Linked DNA regions of Xenopus tropicalis. The protein of the gene in region 2 interacts with the protein of the main gene of each other region in a biochemical or structural test. Links are inferred from orthologs where the notes say so. Each region holds a gene or a part of one and is shown on either strand. Other genes may lie near its edges.

Region 1 (3,877 bases), on a different chromosome or scaffold from region 2:
AAACTTTTAGTTTACAGTACACAGTTATGAAAACCAGTGACAAAACTAGAAAGAATCCAGAGAAGGACAACTAAGTTATCAAAGTAAAATGGAAAATCTCAATTCAAAAAGAGGTAAGTTTCCAATTTACATTTATAAACTATTTCTAACATGAGTTCAACATGACTTCAATCAATAGGGTTTGCCTCAGATATGTTTTGTCTAATGTTTTAATCATGAAAAATGTTTTTTATTTCTTGAGCTAAACTACATCAGACATAACTTTAGCAATGATTGTCTTTCCACCACAGGTAGGAAATGCAATATAATGTCCTTTACTAAAGTAAACACCCAGGCAGAGTGCTTGTTTTTACCTAGGAAAACTCTATATGCTTTTTTCATCAGGGCAACCTAATCTTTCTACATCTGCCTGAATGGTGTAATTTCACTTCTGTACATTAGAAGGCTTAATGATTTAGCCTACATTTTATTAGCATTTTTATTGATGTTAAATAATAAAAATCACTAATGTTAATTACCCCATGAAGACAAAAGCAGTAAAGTGGTGTCCATGTGTCTGCTGTCATCTAAGGCCCCTAGCCTTATCACACCCCAGGGGCCAATTGTTCCCCACCACAGCTTGATGTCTCGGGGCTGGGGAGCAACAGGGGGATAACAGGAAGTGCTGCAGGCCGTAGAATCTACATTCTGTGTCATATATCCACAGAACATGGCATTTAAGGGTTATATACATTTGTATTCCTTTTATTTTTTCACATCACTGGAACTTGTACACTGTTTAGGTAACAAGATTACCCGGTATCTAAACACTCAATCAAAATTTCTGTTCCTGTGGATGGCCTTCATGAATGTCAGTCTATGTGTAAATGTAGCATCTCTGCCGATATCTGTACTTACCTATGTAATTAAGGCATTCCGAGAGGCTTCTTGACTGAAATGGTCCTTCATAAACAGTCTTGCTTTTATCAAACAAATAAACCATATAGCTATCCCATCCTTTCTGCAGGGAAAGACAAAAGGGATTATATAGTTTGAGATAAAACACTTATGATTAGTTGAATCATCTAGGCTAGGGCAAGAACTGTATTTACTTACCAGTGTACAACAACTACTATTTGGTTCTCCTCTAATTCTTAAAATGCATGTTTCACATTTACACATTTTACATTTTATTAACCAAGAAAAAAAAAGCAAAAAGCCCTAGAAAAATAGCAGTAGTCCTCTTTAGGCCCTCTTAGCAAACATTATTTCTGGGCTCTCCTTCCATCACTTGTGGGACCCAGAATCCCCCTGTGCACAAACACCTGGCTTTTCAGGTATGGGCTGATCCTCCCTTATCAGGGCCGGCCAGAGCCATGGGGTTTGTTCCCTAATTGTTATTTTTAGAAATTTCATAAAAACCACAAAGTTTAGCATAGCTAAAAATACAAGCCTTGAAATTTGTATATACATGTTACTTTTTGCCATCTCTACATGTGAAATAGTTGTTTAATTCTATGCATATTGGTCATCAAACTGGTCCAAAGACCCCTGACATTCATATTCAGGATGTTTACCTTGGCATAATATGACGCGTGGGAGAAATATTAACTTTTTTGTGGCCTTACCTGTGGCTTTAAAGCTATTTTGCAACAGCTGAAATGGCATGATTGTTCACATGATTTTGTGGCCTCTACTCATATCTTTCACAGTGTTTTATTTGACTAAACAAAAAAAGCCAAAAATGTACATATTTTAATTGGGGGGGGGTGCTATGAAGGTTATTTACTATGTGCAAGGCAGGGTGCAAAAACTGACACAATCACTCATACTTTGTTTACTTTGCAACCTGCCCTATATAAAGAATATTTGCTCAGGGTCTCCGTTTTTTGATTTGGCCCCATGAATACAGCGCTATCTGTGGTTGGCAGCATTCTTGTTCATTCTTGCAGCTGGGTGGAGGGACGTAGAAGTGCAAATAAAATGTGAAAATCTACTGGTACTGATAGGGTTAAAGGAATCTTGCTGTCCTGACCAATAGAAATATTTCATTATTTTGATCATTTGTATCAAAAACATAGATGGCTTTAGAAAACCAACCTGGAAACATTTCCGAAGAAGCCTTAAATTGTTTTTCCCCCCTCCCTCACATTTTAAGCATATGATGTAATGCATTTGCTCTGATGTGAAGCACAGATCATAGAATAAACAAAAAAAACATAAAATCTGTGGCACTGGCAGTCAGGCACTTGATGGACAGAGCTGCATATTATATGATCTCAGGCTGGTAAGCGTTTAATTTATAACTTTAATTTAAAACCTAGCGTTTGATTTGGTCATTCTGATATTCTTCCATAAAAACCTTACCACTCCATCTATAACACATTGGGATGCTGGTTTTCTTGGATCAAGGGATACCCCCATCTCTAGAAGTAACTCTTGATTACATGTGCTAATGCCAGTCTCTGTCTCAATGCGAGACTGCAGGGTGTGTAGGCTCTCCTCAGGTTGCAGGTGAAAAGAATGAATCTTGGCAGATGTCATATTCAAAATGTGAACTATCTAAGAAACAGGAAGGAAAAATAGGGTTATATACACTATAATAATAACATATTTAATGCTACAAAGGAGCTGCTCCATTGGCCTTGGTAACCTTTTTTATATCAGTTTCAACTAGGTGGGCCTCCAAGTGTCACAGAACAACAGTTACGTTCTTGTTATTATCCAACAGCACAAGGATCCCCAACCTTTTTACTTGTGAGCCACACTCAAATGTAAAAAGTGTTGATGAGCAACACAAGCATGAATCACATATTTTTCAAAGAACTTCTGATATTGTTTTTACCTTCAAGTTGAGGATCTGGTCCATTAGCACAAAACATTGTGGACGACCGCAGTCCATTCCTCCTCCCCGTTGTATAGGGTCCCAGTTTAACAAAAGCTGCAACCATGTCTCTATCTTGTCTACAATTATGCTGAGGGGAGAAAAAAAGACAAGCCCTTCAACACGTTTGCCCACCTGAAACCTGCTTAACTGCAAGATGAACAAAAGGAAGATGAAAAAACCTCTATAATTTGCCTCAGGGGCAATTTCTTCCTGATGTCAAGTAAACAATTTAATTTACTTACATTTCAGTAACTTTGTATATTATCACTTTCTAAAAAGGCATCCAACCCTTTTTTGAAACTACTGAATGTATCTGCCAGCATATTAGCTCTGGTAGAGAATTCCACAAAACCCTTTCTGCATCTTAAAGGACAACTTAAGCATTTTCCTGCAGCAGCAACTAATGAGAAACTTGCAAATACATCCTGTGCAATACTAAATACACAAAAAGTCTACACCATTATTATTTTTGTGCTTCCTCCAATGTGGTGTACATGATTATATGTACTAAGCTCTGTACAGGAGGCATATACATTGGAGAAACAGTGCAAAAAACTATGCACAAGGATGAACCATCACTGACATAAGATCAAGACCAAAATATGTGATAAACCAGGGAGGCAACCATGGTCTTAAAGGAACAGTAATACCAAAAAATTAAAGTGTTTTAAAGTAATGGAAATATAATGTACTGTGGCCATGCACTGGTAAAACTGGGGTATTTGCTTCAGGAACACTACTATAGTTTATATAATAAGCTGCTGTGTAGCCATGGGGGCAGCCATTCAAGGAAGAAAAGGCACAGGTTACATAGCAGATAACAGATAAGACACCATTGTATTCTACAGGGTTTATTTGTTAGCTGCTATATAACCTGTGCCTTTTCTTCCTTTGAATGGCTGCCCCCATGGCTACACACCAGGGTTTATATAAACTCTAGTAATGTTTCTGAAGCAAACACAAAACTTTTACCAGTGCAGGGCAGCAGTACATTATAGTTTAATTTCTTTA
Region 2 (3,877 bases):
TATTTTCTTATTTCAAGAGTTTGTCTATATTACTATTAACTTGCAGCCCCTTACCTCTGGAACTCTATCACTGAATTCCTTTGTAAAATTATACATACAAAGAGTAAGCTGCCCTGTATTTTAATTTACTATTAAGAATAGATAAAGAAAAGAGATTTGTGATACACATTAGCACTTTTTAATCATTTATTTGTATGTCACTTACCCACTTGTAAGCTCTATGGGGAAGGGGAGTACTTCCCCTTTGTCTTTTAGCACATGACACTTAGGGGCAGATTTACTAAAACTCTTTTTTCATTTTTTTTTATTTCAAAATTTAAACAAACTCATTTTCACAAACGTCTGACATTTGCTAAAAAGTCTGAACTGAAAAAGTCAGTGCAGGAAAGAGTTGCAGAAAAGTCACGAAACTGCAACTTTTTTGAATTGTCACATCGCAACCTCTACTTTTTCGAATTGTCATATAAAAAACTAGCGTCAAAAATTAGAAAACCTCTAAAGTTTTGAAGCAAAGAAGGATCCAGGAAAGGGAAGGGACATCTGCAATTGACTTCTACATGATCTCGAAAAGGTTTATCTGGGGAATTTTCAAGAAAATCTTGAAAAAGGTGTTTTTTTTTTGCGACTTTTAGCACTAAAAAAATCCCACCATTATTAAATGGCCCCCTTAATCATTGTAACTCTGTTTATTTATATTTATTTATTGCAGTGTTTTTTCTCTTAGTTTGTATGTTTACTGTGTTTGTATAGCTTTGCTTAGACATTTATTTAAGATGCAGTCCAGTCCTATGTGATCAGTATATTTGCCATTGTTGTAGTTGTTAATGTGCATGCTGAATGCATGTAGTATGAAGACAGAAGTCAAGGAATCTACATGTAAGGTCAGACATGGGAAATTCATCTTGTGTCACCAGCTTTTCTTGTTGAACTTTTTTTTAAATTTTCTTCATTCTGATCAGATGCTATATTAGTAACCCGTGTAACAGAAGAACTGACACCTATAAATATTACTTCCTCATAGGAGGTTAAACATAAAATGCTTTTAGCACATGCATGTGGTGATGTAACAGCCTGGGAAATCTCATTGTATTGTTACCCAGGCAATTAAAAGGGCTGGTATAATAAGCAGTTTTGGTATACCACTTTCCTTTTTTTAGAAGCCCCCAATGCATCCAATCTGAAAATCGTGCGAATGGACAGGACTGCAGGCTGTGTGACAGGAGGGGAAGAAGTATACCTCCTGTGTGATAAAGTGCAGAAAGGTATGTCAATTATCTGGAACCAAAAAGAACTCATTGTATTTGACATTTTTTAATGACAAAGTAAAACTATGGCACTTCATGTCCAGCTTTGCCTCTATTATTGTGTACATGGCTATGAAGATGTTAGTAACTGTAACTTGCTGGCTATGCTTCCTGCTGAAATCGTTTCACAATAGTGTATATCCTGCTGTTTTGTATATAAGCTCGTTTTCAGTAAGCTAAGTATTGTGACATCCGAAACACATCTGCATTTGCAAAATTATAGTAAAATGTTTGAGGGAAAGTTGAGCTATTATCTCATGTTAAAAAAAAATTCAGCTGTGGAATATAGCTACTCCCAATCATACTCTAAAAATACTAAATTAGCTACAAATGATGATCTCAAAATAATATATAACTAAAGCATACAAAAATGCTTTAATAAGACAACACTGGCAGCCGTCCAGAAACCTCACTTATCATTTACATTACTTCTGCTGCTTCGTCAGAGGAAATTTTGAACTGGAGGAACTTCACGTTAAACATCAGAGATGACGTAATGCAAGCCGGACTGGCAGAGCATGTGTGGGTGGTTTCATTTTAGCTTGTCCCTTTTTACATGTTTTGTATGTCACTTGGGTTTTAGCACAGTTTAGTGAGTCTATTGTTTTATTATGTTTGTAAGTGTACTGGAAAATGTGCTTTAGATTGGTTTGATTCAGCTTATTACAGCTGTGCTTCCTCCTCTACCACAACCAAAGAATGAGAAGTTTTGTAGATACTAATCTGGGCCTGCATGGGGCAGAGTGTCATGGGGCTTTTCAAGCTCATGACCATGATAATCATGGTGTAAAAGTGGACTGCCTCTTTTGTAGCTATGTTTGGCAGGGGTCCAGGGTAAAAGCCTGGCCTAGGTCTGCATATAAGGAGGTGCTGCAGAAAACAGCTGTTGGTAGGAAGATTTTGGGATGTTAATGGTAACACTTTATATTAGTGCTTGCCCTGTGACCCTGTTGACAGGGTATGGAAGACTCATAGTTTAGGAAGCACTGGTATAGCAGAATGAAATGAGTACCGGTAATGGAAATTAGATAAGAAGAAATGGAAGTGAAATGTTTTTGCGTATTCTAAATGCAATTGCAGCTTAATGTAAATGATTACTAAGAGAATCAGATATGGATAAGATATGAGCAGTGCTATTATAATGCTATCTAAGTACAGGTATAGGATCCCTAATCCAGAAACCTGATATCTAGAAAACTCTAAAGCTGGCCATACACGCACCGATACTATCGTACGAAACCTCGTTTCGTACGATATTCAGTGCGTGTATGGCATGTCGGCGAGTCGACCGATATCGCAGGAAGCTGCTGATATCGGACGACTCGCCGATTGGCCAGGTTAGAAAATTTTGATCGGGCGCCATAGAAGGCGCCTGACCAAAATCTGCCGTCAGGGCTGAATCGGCAGAAGAAGGTAGAAATCCTATTGTTTCTACCTCCTTATCTGCTGTTTCGGCCCTGACTGCGACCAATGGTCGCACGAAACATCGTTAGATCGCCACGTGTATGGCCAGCTTAAAGGAAGGCCATCTTCCATACAGTCAATTATAAGCAAATAATAATTAAAATAATTAAAAATGCAATCTTTGTAATTAAAAAAGGGCCTAGTACATTATCCTAAATTAGTTTAAATTTATGCTGTTGGAAAAACTCCTGCTGTTTTTATTAATTAGATTTAAGTTACCTTAAAAACCCAGGTCTTAAGCATTCTACATTAGAGATCCCTTACCTGTATTGTTTTTCTAGTTTTACACATTTCAGTTCGATAATCACTGCATAACCTAAAACAATTGAATAATATTTTCTGTGGTCCCAGCAGCACAGGGAGGACCAGATTGAGATTCAAAATAGATCCTGGCATTTCAAATACACAGTGTCCCAAACACCCCCCCACAGGCCCCATAATTAGTGACAGTCTAAGGCATCTTACAGCAGCCCTTTGGCCATTGCCAGAATCCACAGATTGCTAGTCAGGGCCTGGCACAACACAGTAAACTATAACTTGGCCACTTGGCTGTATTCTATCATTTCACATGTTTATGTGAATAGAGACATTTTCTTTTCCTCGCTTACAGACGATATTCAAGTCCGCTTCTATGAAGAGGATGAAAATGGAGGCTTCTGGGAAGGATTTGGAGATTTCTCACCTACTGATGTTCATAGACAGGTATATGTTTTATCTGGAACAAAATTACCTTAACAAGGGTAGAAAATTATTTTTACTAAAGCAACTATAAAATATCAGATTGTATATATGATTACAATATGTTCATGATTCTGTGTACTGGCTGACATTGTGTAGTATAACCTAAATACTGTAATGGGATGAGCTCAGAGAAGCATCATGTTTACAGCATGTCTGTCTCTAGCAAAGAGGTGCCATAGCTGCATATCTTCCATGGGGAACAAGTCACTCTCCCATTAAATAAAGGCTTATATACATTAGCAGTCCTATTTTATTCTTTATCTCTCTCCCTCTCTCTTTAAGTTTGCTATTGTCTTCAAAACCCCAAAGTACAAGGATGTAAATATTACAAAGGCAGCGTCTGTGTTTGTTCAACTTCGGAGGAAGTC
Region 3 (4,480 bases), on a different chromosome or scaffold from region 2:
ACAAAAGGGAACCAACTTACTTTTCACTAAATATACAAAGCTCATATTATTGACGTTTCAAGTTTTTATATAAGAATCAAGGCAAGTCTTTTGTCTCCCTTCTGTCTGGTGCCTTGAGTAGTCAAACAGGTCAAACACCCCAAAGGCTGTTCATTAGGTCAATTGCAGACTGGGTGTTTCCCAAAGGTGCCCCACCAATGACTTTAATAATAATCACCTGGATCCTGCTGGTACATTTATGGGTAAGGTCAGACTTCTCTGGTGGGACACCAGGAAAAAAACAATAGGGTCCCCACCAACCCAGATCCGCTCCAAGCCTGACACCCTGAGCATTCCCCCATGACCTTCCCCCTCAATCGAGGCTGCAACAGAGAAAACAAAGTATGTGCAGGGTGGGGGGGATTTGATACATACTTGGGTTCTGAACAAAGCCAAGAGTCAGAACTACAGAACCAAGACAGCACAGGGTTTTTGTAGACTTTGTAACACAAGAGCATACAACATAAGAATGTATGAGTATAGGTGTTACTAATGAGAGAACAGAGATAACTCTTCACAGCACAGAAAACAAATAACTCTTACAGCCAAACAGGTGGCTCTGTCTTCAAGGCCATGGTAGCAGTAACCAAGGCTAGCTAGAGAACAGAATCCATCTAATTCAGGGGGGTGCCTGTGTTGTAAATCTGCACACACAGAATGTATTTATTATCACTGCTTATGAGTGAGCCAATCAGTTCTTTTAAATGTCCAGTGCTGTATTTCTTACAGGTCCACCCTTGAGTGCACCTGTGGGGTTCAGGGTGTTCAATCCATGTCCTGCTGAGCTGGGAACTGCATGGGTGGCAAATCACCTGCTGCAAGGGGCACCAATGGGGCAGCCGAGATCTCAGCACAGCTACGCACAATTTCCCTTAATGGTCCCTTATGTAGGGATGTAGGGAGGCATGACTGAGCTCGGAGTAGGGATTGTAGTGCAGGGGGTAATATGGAGAAGTACAGGGTGCATAGTAGGTCATTTTGGAGGGTAGATTACTGGAAGAATAGTGCATATAATGAGGATGTAATTATCTCAAACACAATGTAAGCAAAAAAAAAAAAATCTTTGGCTTTTGCCAAACTGAGTAATAGGAAATGCTATGAAGTGTATGTGTCACAGGGCGAGGGAAACAAGCTAAAGGAGGAGTCAAAGGGAGCGGTTTATACAACCGGGTGACCCCCTCCTGGCTTCCTGGCTTGTCTCTGGGGGAGGGGACCTTCAGGGAACAGGGCAAAAAAGCACCTGGGTGTGTTATCTTACAGAGGGGAAGTCCCTGCATTAGAGCTGCTTCCTACTAACTGCCAGCCAGAGTGAGACTGCTGCTGCTGCTTAGAGACAGGGGGGACACCGGGGGAGTGAGAAGGGACGGGAAAGCCTGAGACAAGTGTGGGAAAAAATGAAGAGGAGGGGGTGTGAGTGCAAAAGCCAGCGCAATGTGCAAGGAAAGCAACTCAGCTACAAAGTTAACTACTAGCACATGGAGGGGGAGCTTCAGGGCTGCAGAATTTAAAGGGGGTCTCTAGCTAAGGGAAGGCTCACATTGGGCTTAGAGAGAAGTGGAGGCTCAGGCACTGGGGGCTGAAGGGAGAAACAGATCTGATAGGACATAGGGTGGCGGGGAGACACCTAAAAGAAAAAGGCATTTCAAAGAGATGGAGAATGTTGGGTTCCTAATGAGGGGAACAGGCTGACAGTGCAGGTGTCTGAGAGGCACAGGTATTAGTGTGGCAGGTACAGGGGCAGAACAGTTAAACAGGTACAATATATGGGCACATAGATATCTACAGAACCGCATATTAGAGCCCACAAAATGAAACTGCAGATATAGTCAAATAGGTATTAGGACAGAGAGACAGATATATACAGGTATCAGCAGAATCAGTACATTGAGACATAGCTGAGAGGGAGGGACAGACTGACAGAGGGGTATAGCTGGAGGGACAGACAAGCAGAGGGGTATAGCTGGAGGGACAGACAAGCAGAGGGGTATAGCTGCAGGGACAGACTAACAGAGAGGTATAGCTGGAGGGACAGACAAGCAAGAGGGGTATAGCTGGAGGGACAGACTAACAGAGAGGTATAGCTGGAGGGACAGACAAGCAAGAGGGGTATAGCTGGAGGGACAGACAAGCAAGAGGGGTATAGCTGGAGGGACAGACTAACAGAGAGGTATAGCTGGAGGGACAGACAAGCAAGAGGGGTATAGATGGAGGGACAGACTGACAGAGGGGTATAGCTGGAGGGACAGACTGACAGAGGGATATAGCTGGAGGGACAGACCAACAGAGGGGTATAGCTGGAGGGACAGACCAACAGAGAGGTATAGCTGCAGGGACAGACTGACAGAGGGGTATAGCTGGAGGGACAGACTGACAGAGGGGTATAGCTGGAGGGACAGACTGACAGAGGGGTATAGCTGGAGGGACAGACAAGCAGAGGGGTATAGCTGGAGGGACAGACTGACAGAGGGGTATAGCTGGAGGGACAGACTGACAGAGGGGTATAGCTGGAGGGACAGACAAGCAGAGGAGTATAGCTGGAGGGACAGACCAACAGAGTGGTATAGCTGGAGGGACCCACAGGTAGGTAGAAATAACCTACACATTGCAGTGAGCCTGACAAAAGGGTGGAAAGCAGTAAAGCAAAGGAAAGGGAGGAGGAGTGACTGGAGGCAAGAGGAGGGCAGCTAGGGGCAAGCACAGGAAGGACAGAAACAACTTGCCCTCTGCTTTCTGACTATTACATCTGCATGGGGTGTCAAGAACAGCCATTCTGACCAATGGGCACCCCTAAAAGCCCCTGCAATGGAGGCATGGAGGCCTCTCCTTTGGACCTTAGTACCCGCAGGAAAATGGATTTGGCCAGTGTGGGCGCCGCACACAGCCCCCCGGGACTTCGCTCTTGGACAGCGGCTGCTGAAAGTCTGAAAGCCGTGAAGCTGGAAGAAGTGGAGCTGCCGGCAGAGGGCCCCAGTGAGTCACTGGAGGGACTGCGCAAAGACCAAGCCTGTCTCCCCATCCGAAAGCGAAGGTACCAGCCGCCTCTGGAACATGAGGGGCACTTTGTCAAACGGACAGATAGGAGCTTAGAGTGGGCAAAGAGGTACCACCCTCCATGTATGGCCTTTGCACTGCCAGGCTATTATCAAGGTAACTCCCTTTTCTTAAAGGATGAGGTGAATTGGTGAATGAAGGAGGAACTATATAAGATACAATAAGATAAGAAGAAATAATAGATATAGGCTTGAGATTTATTTGATCAAAATACACATGTGATTTCTTTCATTTTCTCTGCCTCATGTAATGGCCCAAGCCTCTCCCCATTATTAATGCAGAATATCCCCATTATGCTTTATATCCCCAAACCCTGGGAACTGCCACTGGGGCTCATATACTAATACTGGGCAAGAAAACACAGCAAACAAAATAGGCATTTCCTTCAATTGTTTTATTTGTAGACGATAAAAAGCTAATAGCTGATTGGTTGCTTTGGCTCCTCAACCCTTTGCAATAGATTTCTCACATTTGAGGACAATCATCAAAATTGCATATGTTTAAAAAATACAAAACACCTTGAGTGGATCAAGTCTTTTAGGTCATGTGACATTAGGGGTTTGGATTTGTACAAGGTTCTTTGCTAAACTAAACCCTTTATCTGTGCGTCACTCTTTTAAAGAATGACCCAGGCTCTTGTATCGCTAAAGCAATAGAAGCCGAATGCTGCTTGGTATATCACTTCATTTGTTTGTGAGCGTCACAAAAGTCGCGAAGACTATTTTCATGCGGTATTTGATGGAACGAGTGCTAATCAACGCACCGCGTATAAATAGTTGCCGCGTGCGAAAAAACGCACGCCATATTAGCCATACATGCCAATACTTTCGGAAAATTATTGTACTGAAAATGCCCATTTCCCTTCAAACTGGAGGCTGCATCACTCTAGGGCCAACACAGACTTGAATAAATCCCACTGCAAAGTCCATATTGTGTTGCCAAAAGCTCATGAACTGTACTTTTCTATAATTACCGCCTGCCCCAAGTAGGTGTTAACTTTCGCACAGACTAATATTTAGCGCGTCTAAGTGTTTCTGAATCATGCGTTAGTATTCATTTCTGCGTGCAAATTAACGCATGCGGTAGCACAAAATTTAACGCATGCGATATGCAACTTAACGCACACGGTAATACTGTAGCGTATCATGCATAATTTTCGCGTCTATTTTAACGCAAAAAAGCATGCTATAAAAATTAACACACTTTAGTGAATCAACCCTACAGTGTCAAAACCACCACAAGCTACCCAACAATATCAATGACTTAGTACTACTTCCAGGCATAAATTCATAAATTGACTCATATATGTTATTTCTATATATATACACACATATATATATATATGCATCAGTACATGGGCACATGCATTCCTATAGAAAGACTGTGAAAC
Region 4 (4,635 bases), on a different chromosome or scaffold from region 2:
TCCCATAGGGCTCAATGGCACTCTGCAGCTCCAACCCGGCCCAAGGAAAGTCTCCCATAGGGCTCAATGGCACTCTGCAGCTCCAACCCGGCCCAAGGAAAGTCTCCCATAGGGCTCAATGGCACTCTGCAGCTCCAACCCGGCCCAAGGAAAGTCTCCCATAGGGCTCAATGGCACTCTGCAGCTCCAACCCGGCCCAAGGAAAGTCTCCCATAGGGCTCAATGGCACTCTGCAGCTCCAACCCGGCCCAAGGAAAGTCTCCCATAGGGCTCAATGGCATCCTGCAGCTCCAACCTGGCCCAAGAAAAGTCACGATACTGAAGCTTGAATGAATCCGAAACTTTCGTACTCGGCGCAAAGGCTACGAAAAAGTCGCGACAATTTGCGCAAGTCGTAACGCTACAAAAAAGTTGCGACATTATGCGAAAAAGTCGTAACGGCTACGAAAAAGTTGCAACATTTTCCGAAAAAATGCAAAATACTGATCATTACGAAAAAAACGCATTTGGACGCTTTTCGGACGCTCGTGGATTAGTAAATGTGCCCCTAGTTCTACCCTGACTCTTGGGTCCCACTAAAGGTGGCCACTCACGTGGTCCTTGTGGCTCTCATTCCCATCATTGTAATCTTATCATTTGGCACGAGGGTCAAACGATCCGGTTACGCCGATGTTGCTCACCTTAGGTGGGTATTTCAAGGGAAATATCTGCTTTTTTGCCAGCATCAACAGAGTAGCAGATCCTATAGAGTATGGCCACCTTCACTGGGGCTTATGGCTCGCTAGCCCTCTGTCCTCATGCTAACTGAATAGCTCTGCCCTCACACTTTCAACCTTGACCTTCTACTAGGGCATAATCTCTTACCCTTCCCTACTTCTTAAATATATAATAATAATAACATAAATGTAGTTGCACTGCTTTTTCTGCCAGTCAAATGCCTTTGTGCACTGCCCTAATTGAACATTTTGGATAATTCCCAGGACTGAGATACACATTAGAACATTAGATTCACATTACAAATAAAGAACAGGGAGCAACTGTGCAGTATAATTGTATATTTGCCTAGTTTTGTTTACTTTGTTAACTGCACTATTTACTATGAGCAAGATACCAGAAGAGGGTTAAAAAGGGCGTTTCCCTCTAACACTAGGCTTCTGGCTGCTTCCACACATACATGAAAGCTGATCCGTCTATTGTTTACAAGCTATTTCAGATAAGGAAACCACTGATTACACGTTCTACACACATCAGTCGGAGCAGGCCACGAATGCCATTTCCGTATGTATTTACAGTGCTTATCAATGAATCATTGTGTATCGTTCTTACGACAAAAAGTGATTAAAACAAGTTTCCGAAAAACACGAGGAGCTGACCCTGTATGCAAATTTAATCGGAATATATAGTCTTAAAAAGATGTCAACTTCGATTTTTTTCTGACGTTTGTTCCTTGCGGGCCGCCGTAGCGTTCTTAGTTAAGGGAACCATGTGACTATGATGTCATCGGATGAGGAAGTACCTCTCTGAATAAGGGTGTACTGGGGGTGATGGCATCTTATAAAAAGGTAATATCATCGATAGAAAATTTGCTCTAGATAAGCCTATTTAGCTGTACTAATGCGATATTGATGGGTTTGTAGGGTTTAGGGGAGCGTTTGTGAGACGCGCTTATAAGTAAATATGTCGGGGCTTGGTGACTGTGCAAGCTGGGCTGTCGGGTATCACCGGCTGCATTGATTGCGTATTTGCTTTGTCCTCTTTGTACTCTTATTACTATTATACATTGATGTTCTGCCTGCGGATCTCAAGCCGATGTTAAACTACCACTTCCAATATCGCCGGCCGCGGAGCCCGCCTGGGGTTGCTGGGAGTGGTATGGCTGACGATCCGCGGTGCTATATAACAATACCCTCAGCGCTATGGAGCTTATATCGGGCTGTGATAGGAAACTATATTATCTTGGGGGAAGGATGTCCGATTCTAGGCCCTCAGCCCCTACTGAACTACAAATCCCGTCATTCCCGGGAGAGAATGGTGGGAATTGTAGTTAATCGGCACTGCAGTGGCGCAGTCTCAACACATAGGCATTGCAGCATATCCAATTGGATGTGGGGTCCTTTTTAAAATTGCACATTTATATTGCACTCACTACAGGCCAAGGGTGCTTGTGGGTGATACATGAAGCATTTGATGGTAATTATAATAGATATATATATATATATAATATCATTCCTTTCAGTGGAATGCTACTTGTCCACCACCAAATTTTAATTAGTATGGTAGTCACTTCACACCTGGCTCATCTCCTAGAACAGTTCCTAGCTTCCTGCCTTTTGGGGATGCTGGGAGTTGTGGTCCAACAAAAGGCAAAGGTTTGCCCTTTGCTCATAACAATTATATTTTATGAAACACTCCGCTTCAATCTCATGGAAAATAGGAACCCGTGATTTAAGCAGCAATAGAACAAGGCCAGTCCATTGGTGGCTTCAGTAGCTCATCCACTGATTTATTCACCTGTTCTCAAGTGATTATATCTGGAAAACCTGCACCGGTGGAGTCTTTAAATAACCCAAATATCTTGTTTATTTTAATACGCGTAAAAAGGTGTGTTTTAAGGAACTAGCCTTAAATATATATCGTCAGAATTTTAAGGTGACTGCAAAGGAATTTCTGTGGCCCAGGAAAGGTGGAGTCATTGCGGGTGCCAATATGTTAGTAATGGGATTTACTGGGTGCTCCTTTTTTGAAAAAATTGCACTGAGCAGGGTAAAAGAACTACCAGAGCACCCCAGTGCTATTCCAGGCTTCTAGTACTTGTTTATGCCCATGCCTGGCAATAAGATAAGATGGCGGTGCAGTGTTTTGTTTACATTTTGGTACATTTTTTTTTCTTAAAGTAGCACAGGCATGAGGAAAAAACTTGAGGGTTCGAAGCCTTTTTCAGCTGGATTCAGGCAAATCCAAATGTCTTGCCAAACTGAATTCGAACCCTTGAAATCACTTGACTTTAGGTCACTCGATTAAGGAAATCACAAATTCACTTGCGCTATATGTGCATGTTTTTCCCATTATCTTAATTTGGATATGCAATTTAGGGCTCAGATTTGGTTAGCGATTCACCTGAATCCCTCATGAAAGATTTGGGATTTGTCCAAATAAAAATAAAATGTGGATTCAGTGCATCTCTAAAATATGTAGTGATTGGATTCACTTGGGTAACTAGCAATTTGTGGATAGGTCAGGGCCTATTTTTAATTCTTATCCAGGCCTGGCTAACATACTAACTCTCAGTGAATCCACCTTTCCTTGTACTTTAAAACATGAATATAATTTAGCACATGAACATATGGAATTAAAAAAAAAAAACAAAAAAAAACCTGCTTCATGGAAAGACCCAACTAAGAGACTCAAGGGTTTTATATGGCCTTTTCTAGGGATTGTGTAGTCCATGGATGCCTGAAAACTTCATAGGATCTGCCCACACTCAGATGGATAGAATTGACCAATGTGCTGGGAAAATATAGCTTTGCTCCAAAGGCATGTACTAAGTGCTTTGTCAGTCCTCACTTAAGCCCAACAAAACAACCTGGTTAATGCCCCCCCCCCTCAGCCCAATACCTTTGTGGGTGGGAAAGCTCAAACTCACACTACTAGTTCCATTTGATTGTTCCTTCAATGCATTTTCAGATTAACTTTTTAATTATAAAGTGAAGTCTTTGTTTAAAGTGTAATCAATTGTTATAGCCTTTTACTACCTCTGGTATAATGATTTAACTGTGATCATTTTATTTTCTGGAATCAGCTTATATGAAACCATAACATTGAGACTTAATTAAGAAACAATTTATATAAACTCTAAACAGTAACTGGAAAAGGACTGAGATGGAAGGATTTTCATGTTCTCTTCAGCCACCAGTAAGAACTTTTATTTTTATCTTTTGATTTATTTATTTATTTATTTTTGTGAACAAAAACAATTTGATTTAGCTTTGTTTAGTTTTTTCTAATCATTCTTTTTATGGTTTAAATGTTTTGTTCTGTTTTCTTTAAAAATTTAAAAATAAGTCATTACAGGTATGGGAAATGTTATCCAGAATGCTTGGGACCTGAGTTTTTTCCTAAATGTGGAAGCTACTAAACTTTTTAAAAAAAAAAAAACCAAAAAACAAATTAGGATTGCTTTCCAAAGGGTTTGTTACCATCAAGTACAGGGTACTGACTTATTTCAGAGACTAGCGAATCAGTCAAATGTGAACAATTGTTTGAAAAAGGTGTTATGGCATATGGGATTGTCTGATTTTTGGAGCTTTCTGGAAAACCGATTTCTGCTTTATAGATCCCATACCTATATTTCCATGGATTGGATGCAAAAGTTTTATCCTAATACTTGGCAGTGCTTGCTATATTTTAGGGCTATGCCACACAGGTTGAATTCAAGCTTTAGGCACCTCCATGATTTCAAGCTCAGTATGAAGGAGGCAAAATGCTTGAATTTGATTTTTTTTTTTTATAGACTTTCATAGTAACTGCTCCAACCATGCCATTGCACCCACAGGTCACCACATGCTCAATCACAAATTTCCAGTTAGGAAAAGCTTGACCCATGGGTCCACTGACTGAATAGTTAGCATAGGTGTC
Region 5 (3,877 bases), on a different chromosome or scaffold from region 2:
ATGACGGGGTGGTAGAAAGCAGGTCGTTTTTTCCCCCATGAGGAATGCATCGCTTGACATGCCGCTAAATTGTCACATAAATTACTGCATAAAAATCTGCAGTTTTTAGTTGTAAATTATGCCCACAGTATTGCTTTCCTTCAAACTTTTTGTGGGCTGTGCAGCCATACAAGTTATCATTACGAGATCTCTGTAATGAGAAACACAGACAGACTCGCTGCTGATGAGATGGTCAGCAGTTTATCTGCATAAGAAACAAGTCTGCTGATAAGAAGACTTTAAAAGAAAGGAGAATACTGAGAGATAAAAGCAAGGGTCAGACCCGCCATATGGCCACAGGCAAAATGTAATCTGCACCTTTACACACACCCAGTTTCAGAGAAGACCATGGCCTTTGTTTCTAAACAACTTGTGACTACAGCACCAGTTCAAAAGCACCTTTGTTTTTCTGGGTGTTGTCACATGACCACCCAACGTCACTCACTGGTGATGCAGCAGGTTGTGCCGCATGTTTCCTGCACAGCTACATTATTTATTCACACCGATTTTCTCTAAGACACAAACCTTACTGCCCTATATGCCTGCCAGAATTTCTTTTTTTTGTCCCAGAATCATTCAGTCCCTAAGATCTGTTCTATCATACAGCTCCCACCCAGAATCTAGAAAAACACTTTTCCACAGGTCTCTGGAGAAGGATACTTCTTTGCCTTTTTCTATACTTGTAGTTATTTCATTTCTCATAATATTAATATGGCAGTGGTTATCTTTTTTTTTTCAGGGAGCTTGTACATTCTTGCTGTTCTTGTCCTCTGGGTACTCTTGTTTCCTCTTAAACCCATAAGAATACTAGCACTCTAGTTGGCTCCTGATAAAATGATGAAAACAATGGCACTAAAGCTCTGCTAAATGTGTCAGCTCATTATACATGACAGTAATAAGCGTGAAAATGATGAAAACAACAGGCTGAGCATAAAACAGACTTTCCACTCTGTTTTGTAACATCAGGTCAAAGTGGTTTTAGTCTCCACCTGCTGGAATGTCACAAAAAAATTATTTTGATAGCAAAACAATTTCAAAATTACTTACAGATGCATGGGTATTATCATAGACAGAAATAACTCTCAGTATTTGGCATTCAGGATTTCAAAGGGAACTCCACCAAATTTGTTTTTTACATGATGAAATGAAATAAAAAGTCTAAACAACTTTTCAGTTTATATTTATTAAGAAATAACAGCTGTTTATAAAGCACCAACACATTCCACAGCACTGTACAATAAATGGGTGAATCAATTGAACATACAGATTTTATTCAAAAAGCAACAACTGATACCCATGACAAAAGGTAAAAAGGGCCCTGCCCTCTAAGGGCCATGACACACGGGGAGATTAGTCGCGCTGCGAAAAATCTCTGTTGTCGCGGGCGACTAATCTCCCCGCAATGCCATCCCACCGGCTGGAATGTAAATCGCCGGTGGGATGGCATACACGGTGCAGTGATTTGCTTAAGTTGCCTGAAGTTTTCTGTTAGTTGCCCACGATAGATCTCTGCTTTTGTGGGGCAACTAATCTTTCCGAAATGCCTTTCCACCAGCAACAAAGGGAATCGCTGGTAAATCTCAGTGACAAAGGCATGGAGCAAATTAATCTAAAATTGTAGTACAATCTTTTGTTTATAAATTATTTAAGCATTAAGCAGAGTACCTTCAACGTTGTTAACAGCAGCTTCCCATCTTCTGATCTTAAAAGTGTTGGTGACCCTGCACATTCTCAGTTTGGTCTGGGCTGCTGTGGAGAAACAAAACATTGGGATAGCCCTAAATTACCAAAACATAAGCAGAAATATAGGTTTCATCTATTGTAGAAAATATTGCTAAAGGGCTAAATACTAATTCTAATGCAGATTGCACTGGATATTATGCTGTTGTGTAATGTGAGTCTGAAATAATTACTGCCTTGTATCATGAAATGTATGTTGTGCGCTGGTCCCTATGCATAGATAACTGACAGCAGCCTAGAGCATATCCTGCAAGTCAGCATAAATAAAGAAGGGGGTTTACTGCAGGCACCTGTGGAGGTGCAGAATTTTTATGCTAAAGGGTTGTGGTAGCCTGAGGCTGGAATAGAAGTCAGAGCATAGGGTGTAGCATTTCTTGCCTTATTCTTTGGTGAGATTTAGTTCTACTTTAAAGTAATAAGAAAAATCTGGAGACAATGGAGTTGCTAGAAGGCATACAGAGTTTCTTTGTAAGCATGTAATACAAGCCATTATTATAATGGCAGTTCTGTTCCTAATTTCCACACCAATGAGGTTACAATTATTATCACTTGTTTATATAGTGCAGACATATATTATTCACATAACTCCACACTGCTGCAGTGTAGCTTATAGTGTAGGGTACCTGTCACATAAAATGATTATAGCAGAAGGAAAGATTCAATCACTGGGGGGTGCCAAATATTAGGTAATTACTTAATTATGTAATTACTTACCTGATACCCTGGGCCAGTGCATCTGTTAGGAAAAACTGCACCGGCCTGGGGTACTTGCGTGAGTGATTCTTTTCCTTCCTTCTTTTTTCAAAATCTCAGGGCCGACGCATGCACGGTAGAGTGAAAAAGCCATCTTTTTTATTAAAGTTTGTCTCTTTAGTCTACTGCACATGCGCGCCCGTGCAAAGACAGAAGAAGCAGGTAAAGGATAGCTCCTTGCAAGTACCTGGGTCCAGTACTGTTTTCTGCTAACAGGCACACTGGCCGAGGGTAGCAGGTAAGGATTACAATCACTGGGGGTACCTAACATTTGGTACCTTCTAGTGATTGAACCTTTCCTTCTCCGTTAAGCAGTTACTAATCTGTCATGAAATAGATATGAATTCAACAAAGTTGACAGAGGTTACGAGCACACAACCCCCAGACTTTCAGCAGGAGAGCAGGAATACAGCTTAAAACTGACAGGTTTGCCATAGATAGCCTTTAGAGCTAGTGAAATGTGTCTGTGGCTCACAGCATGACTGAGTTTAGAATAAATGATACTCACATATAAATATTAAATATATTAACCACTCTGCTAAAAACAAATAATAAAGATTTAGAATTCATTTTAGATTCAGAATTGGTTTCATTTTACATAAATACATTGTAGACTATTTTAGACTAGAATATGGCAATGAAAGGCACGTTTCTGATCTTGTTACAGTTTTGGACAGTAATAAGTCACTGAAACTTTTTTGTCCAACTAGCTTGGAGACCCTTCCATTTTTCCGGCTGTCATTGTTGAACACATTCCAAATGCAGATCTCCTGCACAGCTACTCAGGTCTGACCTGTGTGGATGAACCAAACAACATGATTACAGAAAACTCCTTGGATGTAGCAGAGGAACAGATTATTGATGATGATGATGACATTACTCTTACAGGTTTGTATAGGGGCTGCACACTTAAGCAAGTATTGATATACCTCAGATACTTTAAGGTGGCCATACACGCACCGATAATATCATACGACACCTCGTTTTTTCACTTTTCTAACATGTAGATTTTGCCGGAAGTGATGTGTGAGTCACAAAAACTGTGGCACTCACCCCTAACCAAAACCCACACCCACCGGAGCCCGTTCCTTACTTTTACCTCAACCCTAATCTGTCAGTCATGTCACAAAGGGAGACACAAGCATCCTCTAGTAAAATAAAAGTGGTGTCAGTTTCACTGTTCTGTATTTTAAATACAACAGTGTATGTTCATGTCCAAGACATTTTTTATTTTATTAGCATAAAAGTGCTGCTGTACTGGCTCTTTTGGTAGGGGACTCCTCCTCCTCCTTTTCAAATGAGAAAAAATAAATAAATACATACAGCTTTATAGACACTTGTTTGT
Region 6 (3,877 bases), on a different chromosome or scaffold from region 2:
ATTTTGTACTCACTATATGTGATTCATGTGTCCAGGCACCATACTTTAGCCACATATATTACCCACTTGGCAATAAATTTGAAAGATTTTTGTATCTGAGGGAATATTTGCTATTTATGCCATTAATTTCAAAGGAAAGTTTTATACCAAATATAAGTCCCCCTTTTTTTGTAGTATACTTCCAGTATTGAGTACATTAGGTTTGTTGGAGCAACAAAAAGCTTTTCTGCATAAAGTAATATGTTATTACTTTTCACTTTGTAAGATTATAAATTCTCCAGTTGGCATGAGCATTGTACATTAGTTCATTGTTGGAATTGGTGATTAGGGATATTAGAGGCTTCTTAATCTTTCTTTTCTCCAACCAGTATTTCTTTTCTTTCATGCTGTCTTGCTTTACCCTCTTTATCATTTCCTCCCTTTAATCTTTACACCCCAGAAATACATGCATTTTGTTTCCTATCCCACTTTCCTTTTCTCTCCTCCTAAATCCCTGCTTTACCACTATAGCTGCTTTAACTTTGCTCTTTCTCTCACCCCTCCCCCTCTTTTTGAGTTTGCTTTTTTCACCTAAATCTTGTTCTCCTTTTGCTCATCTTCATTTCTCCTTTTTATTACTGGCCTTAATATTGCTTTTTTACAAGTGTTCACATGCCCCTCCCTGTTTTGTTCTTCTTTCACTTCGGATTTTTCTTCTTTTCCTGCGCCATTCCTCTTTCTTGTTTTTCTCCCTTGATTGATCTTTTGCTGCTGTCTCCAAATGCTGGGGATCTTAGTTTTTGTATGTTATTTATGGCGTTTCCCTTTTTTTTTTTTTTTTTTTTGTTATTGCTATTTAGAACCATCAGCAAAGATCAATTCTCCAAAAGGAAAAATGACACACTGGATCCAGAACAGTACGTGATGTTTCCTATTTGTCCCACCACAGATTTAGATGAGTGTTAAATTGGGATGTGGGGAAGGGAAACTTCCTAATTACTGAGTTATATCTTCTCCATTCTAGATACGTGGAGTGCTTGGAGTGCGGTAGAAAAATGCACCAGATCTGCGTGTTACATAATGAAACCATCTGGCCCACGGGGTAGGTGTCTTATTTCAGCATTAACTTATTTGATCTCTCTGATGAAGGACATTCTGATTCTGATTTATTTTGTTCTGTCCATAGCTTTGTATGTGAAGGCTGTCTAAAGAAAACAGGTCGAAATCGGAAAGAGAACAAATTTTCTGCCAAACGTAAGTACATCAGTTCATTGTTGGTGCTGAAGAAATTGTAATATCTTTGTTTAGTCTATTCTGGGAGATTAATTAATTTATTTAATCCAAGGTCTCCCAACTACAAGGCTTGGCTCTTTTCTGGAGAACAGAGTCAATGATTTTCTGAGAAGACAGAATAATCCTGAGGCTGGAGAGGTGATTATTCGGGTGGTCCATGCATCTGACAAAACAGTGGAAGTGAAACCTGGCATGAAAGCGAAGTAAGCAGTTTATTTTTTGGAATTGTCACAGTCTCTCTCACTTTGGTTTAAGGACATTCCTATGTGTACACTTAATTCTGCTAGTTGAATATAAAATCTGTTTTCAAAAGTAAATTTCCTTATAGTTCAGCATTTTGTATGTTGGTATATGTAACCCTTATGTATAGTATTGTTTTGCTATCTAAATATAATAAGGGGATGTTCTTCATTGCTGCTGAAGATACCTTGGAGACTTGTGTTAATTTGGCCTACAGCTTTCCTTTTTGTCATTATTGCAAGAAAAAAAAGTTTGTGTGAACTATTAATGTAAATAGTGCTAAGGGGAAAAAGAAACAGGGAAACCATGACATATCATCACCTTGTGTTACATCTAAAAAAGCAATGTTTAGCAAGAGGTAGAGCAGCAAAAACTGAGCTAGGTTAACTGAAACTTACTGGAACTAGAGGGAAGTCCTTGATCGTGGAGTACAAGGACAACAGTCCTTGTTTCTCTTTCAACTTGGAAGGGAAAATGATGCACCTGATTTCTCAAACTTAATGTGCAACCCACCACATAAAGAGAAGGTGGTAGTAGTTATCAGGGAGACTCAGCTGTCACCCCTGGTTTCATTGTTGACCAATTAATCCACGTGTCTTAAAAAAAAAATATTTTAAACTGTATGCAATTGGGCTATATCAGAGAATGTGTTGAAGGAAGGTTGTGCACTCCTTTTCAGTTGCTTATCTACCCAAATGTAGCTTACTACAACTTTGATATGAGAAAAAATATGGATAAAAATGTTCTATATTAAACTGATTTCAGCTTAAGTAAACCATTAGGATGGTATGGACTTTTATACTTTCTTAACTGGCTGTTAAAAAGACTTTTTGCAAGTGCAGTTTACATTTTGGATGAAAAAAGGAGAAATTACTAGAACATTGTAAGCTGAGTTTAAAACTTTATTGTAAATTATTCTTAATTATTGTTACACTCAGGAACTGAAAAAAGCAAATCAAATGTTATTCTTATAAACAGGTTTGTGGATACTGGAGAGATGGCAGAATCCTTCCCATACCGAACAAAAGCCTTATTTGCTTTTGAAGAGGTTGATGGAGTTGAACTGTGTTTTTTTGGAATGCACGTGCAAGAATATGGCTCTGACTGTCCCCAGCCCAATCAAAGGTAGGCCTTGTGTGTCTGTCTTCCTTCCTGTAACGTAAGTTGTGTATGGGTTCAGTTGGTAACTTTTCTTTTTGATTCTCTTTAGGCGGGTTTATATTTCCTATCTGGACAGTGTACATTTCTTTCGGCCAAAGAACCTTAGAACAGCTGTGTATCATGAAATTCTCATTGGCTATCTGGAGTATGTCAAGAGACTAGGGTAAGCATATATTTATAAAATGTATGTGATAGTGGGACATCATCCATTTGGTTGCTTCCAAAGCGAGGCACTCCTCTGCATCATCTCACTGGTCACCCTGCCATAATGGTTCTAAGATCACATTGCAGTGTGCATTCATGCACTGTTGAGGCAAGTCATTAAATGACTGTGGGTCATTCACAGCCCATATTTGCTAAAAAAGTGTGACTGCATACAAGTTGGGCACTGTGCTGACATGCCTGAATTCTCATATGAAACTAAAAGATGATGGCAGTCTTGCATTAAACAAATTTTAGATTGAAAAAATATTTTGACTGGACGGAATTGTCATTTGCAATGGTAAGCTGAAAGTCAAAGCAAATGTTTTTTTCTTAAAGACTGAAATCTGTGTGCCCGTTGCACAAAATAAGATTAAGCAGGATAATCTTCGCCTACTGAAACACCAGCTAATGATATAAAAAGCCTCGGAAATGTGAGACATTCAAGCATACAGGCCAACTTGTAAGACAAATTAGTCATTTATTCTGTGTGGCTGTGCATAGATACACTGGTTTGTTGGCTTAGTTGTAGTATGGGCATTTTTGAATTGCATTGCATTTGTGTTTTTGGATTTGCTTATTTGTCCAGTAAAACCAAAGCTTGAGAAGAGTTTGTGTGTTCTGGGAGATTTGTATCCTGTAAACCAGAGTGCTCATCCTCTGTAACAGTACTCGCAAAGCTTGTCTATGTTCCTAATGTTTTATAAAGGAACAGAAGGTTTGAGTTACTGTGAATTTTTATTTTCCTAACTCTTACCCACAACTTGCTTGGGCCATTTTCTGCATGGCTGGCCAATGCCATCTTTCCTTAGTTTCCCAGGTATCCCCTTTGGAAAAGTTATGAGTTTCACCTGCAGCAAGACTGAACTTCCCTATTGGGTGGCAGCAAAAGATGGCAGATGCCCACTGTGCAGAAAGTTACCCTAAACCTGTGCTGTTTCTAAGAACATGAGTGCCTGGGTATGATTTAAGTTATTGTAGTCAGCATGAGTTCAAAATTAGC
Region 7 (3,877 bases), on a different chromosome or scaffold from region 2:
GATATGTACACAATATCAAAACAAAAATCAAACCTATACGTACCACCCAGCAATAAACAGCAAAAAAGGTGAAGGCAGATACTCTGGATGAGAGAACTGCCCCAAAGTTTCAAGAAAAGCACCAGAACCAACAGGATAGACCTGCATATATGTTTATACAACACCCTCTCTTAAGATATAAGGACCACAGACCATGTAAGGTGGTTTCTAATGTTCCTAAATGTTGAAGCAGGGGATTGCTTATTTTTTAATACACGTTTCAATGGGCTATGGGTGATTTATATATGATAACCTCACTAAGCACTACTTATAAGGATATATATCACAGGTTTTTATAAACATATATGTTATTGCTGATATATTGATGTACATGTGTATATATCCCCCCAGCTGTTGTCTGTACTGAACATGGTGTCTGGCAAGGTGCACACTTACCCGGTGTCAGAGAATGAAAACCTGCAGAATCTGAAGAGTCGCCTGGAGCAAGACACAGGGATTCCTGAGGAAGAGCAGGAACTATTGCAGGCATCAGGATTGGCCCTTAATCCTGCCCAGCCTCTAACCCAGTTTGTGGTAGACTGCACGGTAAGAGTCTTCTCATGCTCACCGCAAAATGACATTATGAAAGCACAAATATGGCAAAAAAAATGTTTTGTGTCATGTGACACAAGGCTAGTGTGGTTCAACTTAAAATGCAACTTTAAATTATATTTCTGTAAGCAGCCTTTCTTTGCAGGTCACAGTATCTGGTGGAACTGTTAATGAAAGGAAAACCATTGTCTTTTTGACTTCAGAGAGTGACCATATAGGCATATGTTTCACTGCTTAATTACAGCTCTTAAGTGCAATATACAGATTCAAATATTCATATTACTTTCAGTACAGCAAGTGTAGTAAAACCCTCAACTGTTCTAGTTCATTCCACCTGCAGTTGTTCTTGCATTCTAGATCTGACCTTGCCATATAAGATGCTGGCTGCTGGTGGGAGTTGTAACTGCTTGAGGGTCATAGGCCAATATCTTTGTTGTCTATAAACTGGAATTATTTTAATCAATAAGTGTCTTATTTGCTTTTGTCTACAGGTCAATGATGGGCGCCAGGGCGAGGGTGATCTGATATTTCTATTTGATAACCGGAAGACTGTATATGAGCCCCAGATATCACTGCCGGCACATCCCGAGAGTGTCACCGTTATATGTGAGTGCCACTGATATTTGGCTTGTAATGGCAAGGGATATACATGTATATGTATATTCCTCTTGCCTGAGGACTCAGACGTTTGCCTATGCCTTCAGGGTTTATACATCTGTCTAATCCTGAGGTTTGTGGTTTGTTGATGGTGATGTGACACTGTGGCACTTAATTCTATTCCAGTGCAGGATCCCAAGCGGCCCCTCACTTACACCCACCTTCGCCGCGTGTGGGGGCAGACCTGGCAGACAATACGAGCGATGAAAGAGGATTGTGCCCGTCTGCTTCATGGGCAGCGTACCTTTATGTGAGTATGAGAGCTCTGCGTGTGGGTGGGACAGACAGTATGTGTGGCAGATGTGTGTTTCTCCATGTATTATGCATAAGTGCTGAGGGCATATCTCTATGTTATGTAGGGTAAACCTGCTGCGATACAATACTGAACTTTCCAAAAAGAAGAACCTCATGACTTCTGAGTTTGAGCAGCTAAAGGCCAAACTGGATTTCTTCCGGAACAGTATCCAGATTGATCTAGAAAAATACAGTGAACAGATGGAGTTTGGAATCAGTAAGTTACTGGCTGGGCCCTCTGTCGACTTTTATTGCTTAGTAAAGAGAACTATAGTGATTTATTGACTTTGCTGTAACCTCTGACACACTGTTATTATGCACAGCTTTTTTTTTTTTTCTTTAGACAACCACTAAACAGCATTCATAGTCATCATAAATGGCTTTCTGTATTAACAGCAAGCAGTATGGGAGCTTCCAGTCTTCTGTATAAATACAGTTTTACACAGAGGAATGATCTGTGCATATCAAACTATGGCCTCTTAGTTTACAGCATTAAGATAAAATTAAAGCTCTGCTTAGGATACGGAAGGTACCCGTTCTGTTATATGCAGATTTAAAGGAGAACTAAACCCTAAAAATGAATATGTCTAGAAATGCCAGTTTTTATATATTGAACTTGTGAAATGTGAACAGGGCAAAATCTGCACCATGCAGTGTTACTATTGTGAAATAGCATATTCATAAAAGAGCAAATTTCTCTTTATTACTGTTGCTTTTAGCCATACAGTCTGCAGGATGAGACTTAGTAGGCCAGGGTCTAGCCCTTGTATTTTGAGCCTTTATATGGGTTCCTACTTCACACACATCACCTTATCATCAATGATATCTATTAAAGGAGCCGTTCACCTTTACATTACCTGTTAATGATATGAACAATGTTTCTTTCTCGCAGCTTCTGAAAAGCTCCTGTCAGCCTGGAGAGAGACGGAGCAAACAGTGGAACTGTGCGGCAGGGTAAGGAATGAGATGAAATGGGATAATGATACTCGAAAGCCCACTCCATAAATTAAACGTGCTATGTGAATATATGTACCCTAGGGTCTCGGGCTCCATTACTTAAAGGGGCACCGTGGGCAAAACCAGTGCACTGCTTTTTTCCCCCATAGCAACCATTTGCGGTTTGGGCTTGTGTATTGTAATTACAAATTTGGTCTAATTACAAATGCACCCAAATATCCGCAGTCTGCATTGTTTAAATGTATCCAGGTTGTTTGGTTATGGGCTGCTCTTTTCCCAAAATGCAGTATATCCCATTGCATTGATCTTTATGGGGTAAAGGAGGGCTTTAGCTTTGGAACCTAAAGAGAGTTCTTATTGAGCTTCCTGGAGATCAGTGTAGTAGTAAACCCCAGTCAGCTCTTAATGTCAGACCCCAACTTTTACCCCCTGCCAGATCATAAGGCAAGAGAGAAGCCCAGAAATCAATTGCTCATTGCTGCGAAACAAGGTTACCTACCTTTTCAACCACTGTGTGTTGGATTTTCCTTTGTTTTAAGTTCTTTACATTTTTGTTCTTTTGTAGGAGAGGGAAGTGCAGGCTCTTGTGGATAAAATGATGGCTTTACAAACAGACAGTGTAGATCTGCAGAGAAATCCATTAGGCAGGAAACACCGAGGGACACTGGATGACCTGTGAGTGAGGTGGAAACTGTTCAGCCATTGTACTTTCATGTCATCATATGAAGTGTTCTGTAAATTGTGTTGGGGGTTGGCTGTTCTCTATGACGGTCTAAATAAAACATTGTTTTCTACTTTTATTGCCAGAGAAGAACAGGCTAAAGATTTATATCGGCGGTTACGGGAGAGACCTAGAGGTAAGCAGTTATTGTTGCAAATATGGGTAAATAATCCCCTTACTAGTTGTATTTGGCTCTAGGGCCAAAGAGTCTGTATTACTAAATATGACGGGAATACGATGGGCTAGATAACCCTTCTTGCGGTTTAGCACCAGAAACCTGACTCTGTTAATTTATCATGGTATTTAGGCTACCTGCTAGTTACTCAGGAAGTGTAGTTTCAACATGCTCAACTCCATGTGACATGTAGTAAGGATATTGGACTTACCGAGAAGATCTGACTTGCTCTAAACGTAAACGTAAATTTATTTCTAGGAACCCAGCACCAATGTATTTTTTTTACCTGTAGATCAAAGGACAGCAGGAGACAGCAATGAAATGGTGCGCCTCCTAATTCAAGCCATCCAGAGCTTCGAGAAGAGAGTCATCCTTATATATGACCAACTCAGGTCTGTGGCAGCTCCCTTTTATCCTTCTCATCTCCATGATTTCATGCCGGCTTTACTGACTCCTTTCCCATCTGCCTGCAGTAAGACTGT

What was found.
Region 1: of the proteins of nfkb1 (region 2) and chuk, one has a biochemical effect on the other in vitro, tested with the Homo sapiens proteins (3 studies listed by BioGRID and IntAct). The link is inferred for Xenopus tropicalis from reciprocal best matches to the Homo sapiens genes NFKB1 and CHUK.
Region 3: the proteins of nfkb1 (region 2) and bcl3 form a complex in vitro, tested with the Homo sapiens proteins (2 studies listed by BioGRID). The link is inferred for Xenopus tropicalis from reciprocal best matches to the Homo sapiens genes NFKB1 and BCL3.
Region 4: the proteins of nfkb1 (region 2) and btrc form a complex in vitro, tested with the Homo sapiens proteins (3 studies listed by BioGRID, with this or other methods). The link is inferred for Xenopus tropicalis from reciprocal best matches to the Homo sapiens genes NFKB1 and BTRC.
Region 5: the proteins of nfkb1 (region 2) and elf1 form a complex in vitro, tested with the Homo sapiens proteins (2 studies listed by BioGRID). The link is inferred for Xenopus tropicalis from reciprocal best matches to the Homo sapiens genes NFKB1 and ELF1.
Region 6: the proteins of nfkb1 (region 2) and ep300 form a complex in vitro, tested with the Homo sapiens proteins (2 studies listed by BioGRID, with this or other methods). The link is inferred for Xenopus tropicalis from reciprocal best matches to the Homo sapiens genes NFKB1 and EP300.
Region 7: of the proteins of nfkb1 (region 2) and ikbkb, one has a biochemical effect on the other in vitro, tested with the Homo sapiens proteins (4 studies listed by BioGRID and IntAct). The link is inferred for Xenopus tropicalis from reciprocal best matches to the Homo sapiens genes NFKB1 and IKBKB.

What each region holds. Positions count from the first base shown.
Region 1 is NC_030683.2:110,575,633-110,579,509, forward strand, and holds part of chuk (inhibitor of nuclear factor kappa-B kinase subunit alpha), read right to left. Parts: intron 2,955-3,877; coding exon 2,825-2,954; intron 2,542-2,824; coding exon 2,347-2,541; intron 1,001-2,346; coding exon 898-1,000; intron 1-897.
Region 2 is NC_030677.2:73,623,202-73,627,078, reverse strand, and holds part of nfkb1 (nuclear factor NF-kappa-B p105 subunit), read left to right. Parts: intron 1-1,157; coding exon 1,158-1,262; intron 1,263-3,378; coding exon 3,379-3,470; intron 3,471-3,791; coding exon 3,792-3,877.
Region 3 is NC_030683.2:108,946,777-108,951,256, forward strand, and holds the start of bcl3 (B-cell lymphoma 3 protein), read left to right. Parts: upstream 1-1,336; 5' UTR 1,337-2,816; coding exon 2,817-3,186; intron 3,187-4,480. UniProt on the Homo sapiens protein: Contributes to the regulation of transcriptional activation of NF-kappa-B target genes. In the cytoplasm, inhibits the nuclear translocation of the NF-kappa-B p50 subunit.
Region 4 is NC_030683.2:30,528,002-30,532,636, forward strand, and holds the start of btrc (F-box/WD repeat-containing protein 1A), read left to right. Parts: upstream 1-1,518; 5' UTR 1,519-1,544; coding exon of another isoform or gene 1,545-1,562; intron 1,563-3,799; 5' UTR 3,800-3,860; coding exon of another isoform or gene 3,861-3,879; coding exon 3,880-3,912; intron 3,913-4,635. UniProt on the Homo sapiens protein: Substrate recognition component of a SCF (SKP1-CUL1-F-box protein) E3 ubiquitin-protein ligase complex which mediates the ubiquitination and subsequent proteasomal degradation of target proteins. Recognizes and binds to phosphorylated target proteins.
Region 5 is NC_030678.2:132,249,526-132,253,402, reverse strand, and holds part of elf1 (ETS-related transcription factor Elf-1), read left to right. Parts: intron 1-3,242; coding exon 3,243-3,420; intron 3,421-3,877.
Region 6 is NC_030680.2:115,913,862-115,917,738, reverse strand, and holds part of ep300 (histone acetyltransferase p300), read left to right. Parts: intron 1-839; coding exon 840-896; intron 897-1,003; coding exon 1,004-1,081; intron 1,082-1,165; coding exon 1,166-1,233; intron 1,234-1,324; coding exon 1,325-1,475; intron 1,476-2,490; coding exon 2,491-2,637; intron 2,638-2,722; coding exon 2,723-2,836; intron 2,837-3,877. UniProt on the Homo sapiens protein: Functions as a histone acetyltransferase and regulates transcription via chromatin remodeling. Acetylates all four core histones in nucleosomes. Histone acetylation gives an epigenetic tag for transcriptional activation.
Region 7 is NC_030679.2:130,604,717-130,608,593, forward strand, and holds part of ikbkb (inhibitor of nuclear factor kappa-B kinase subunit beta), read left to right. Parts: intron 1-390; coding exon 391-585; intron 586-1,082; coding exon 1,083-1,197; intron 1,198-1,374; coding exon 1,375-1,498; intron 1,499-1,607; coding exon 1,608-1,759; intron 1,760-2,434; coding exon 2,435-2,496; intron 2,497-3,064; coding exon 3,065-3,174; intron 3,175-3,306; coding exon 3,307-3,356; intron 3,357-3,687; coding exon 3,688-3,787; intron 3,788-3,868; coding exon 3,869-3,877.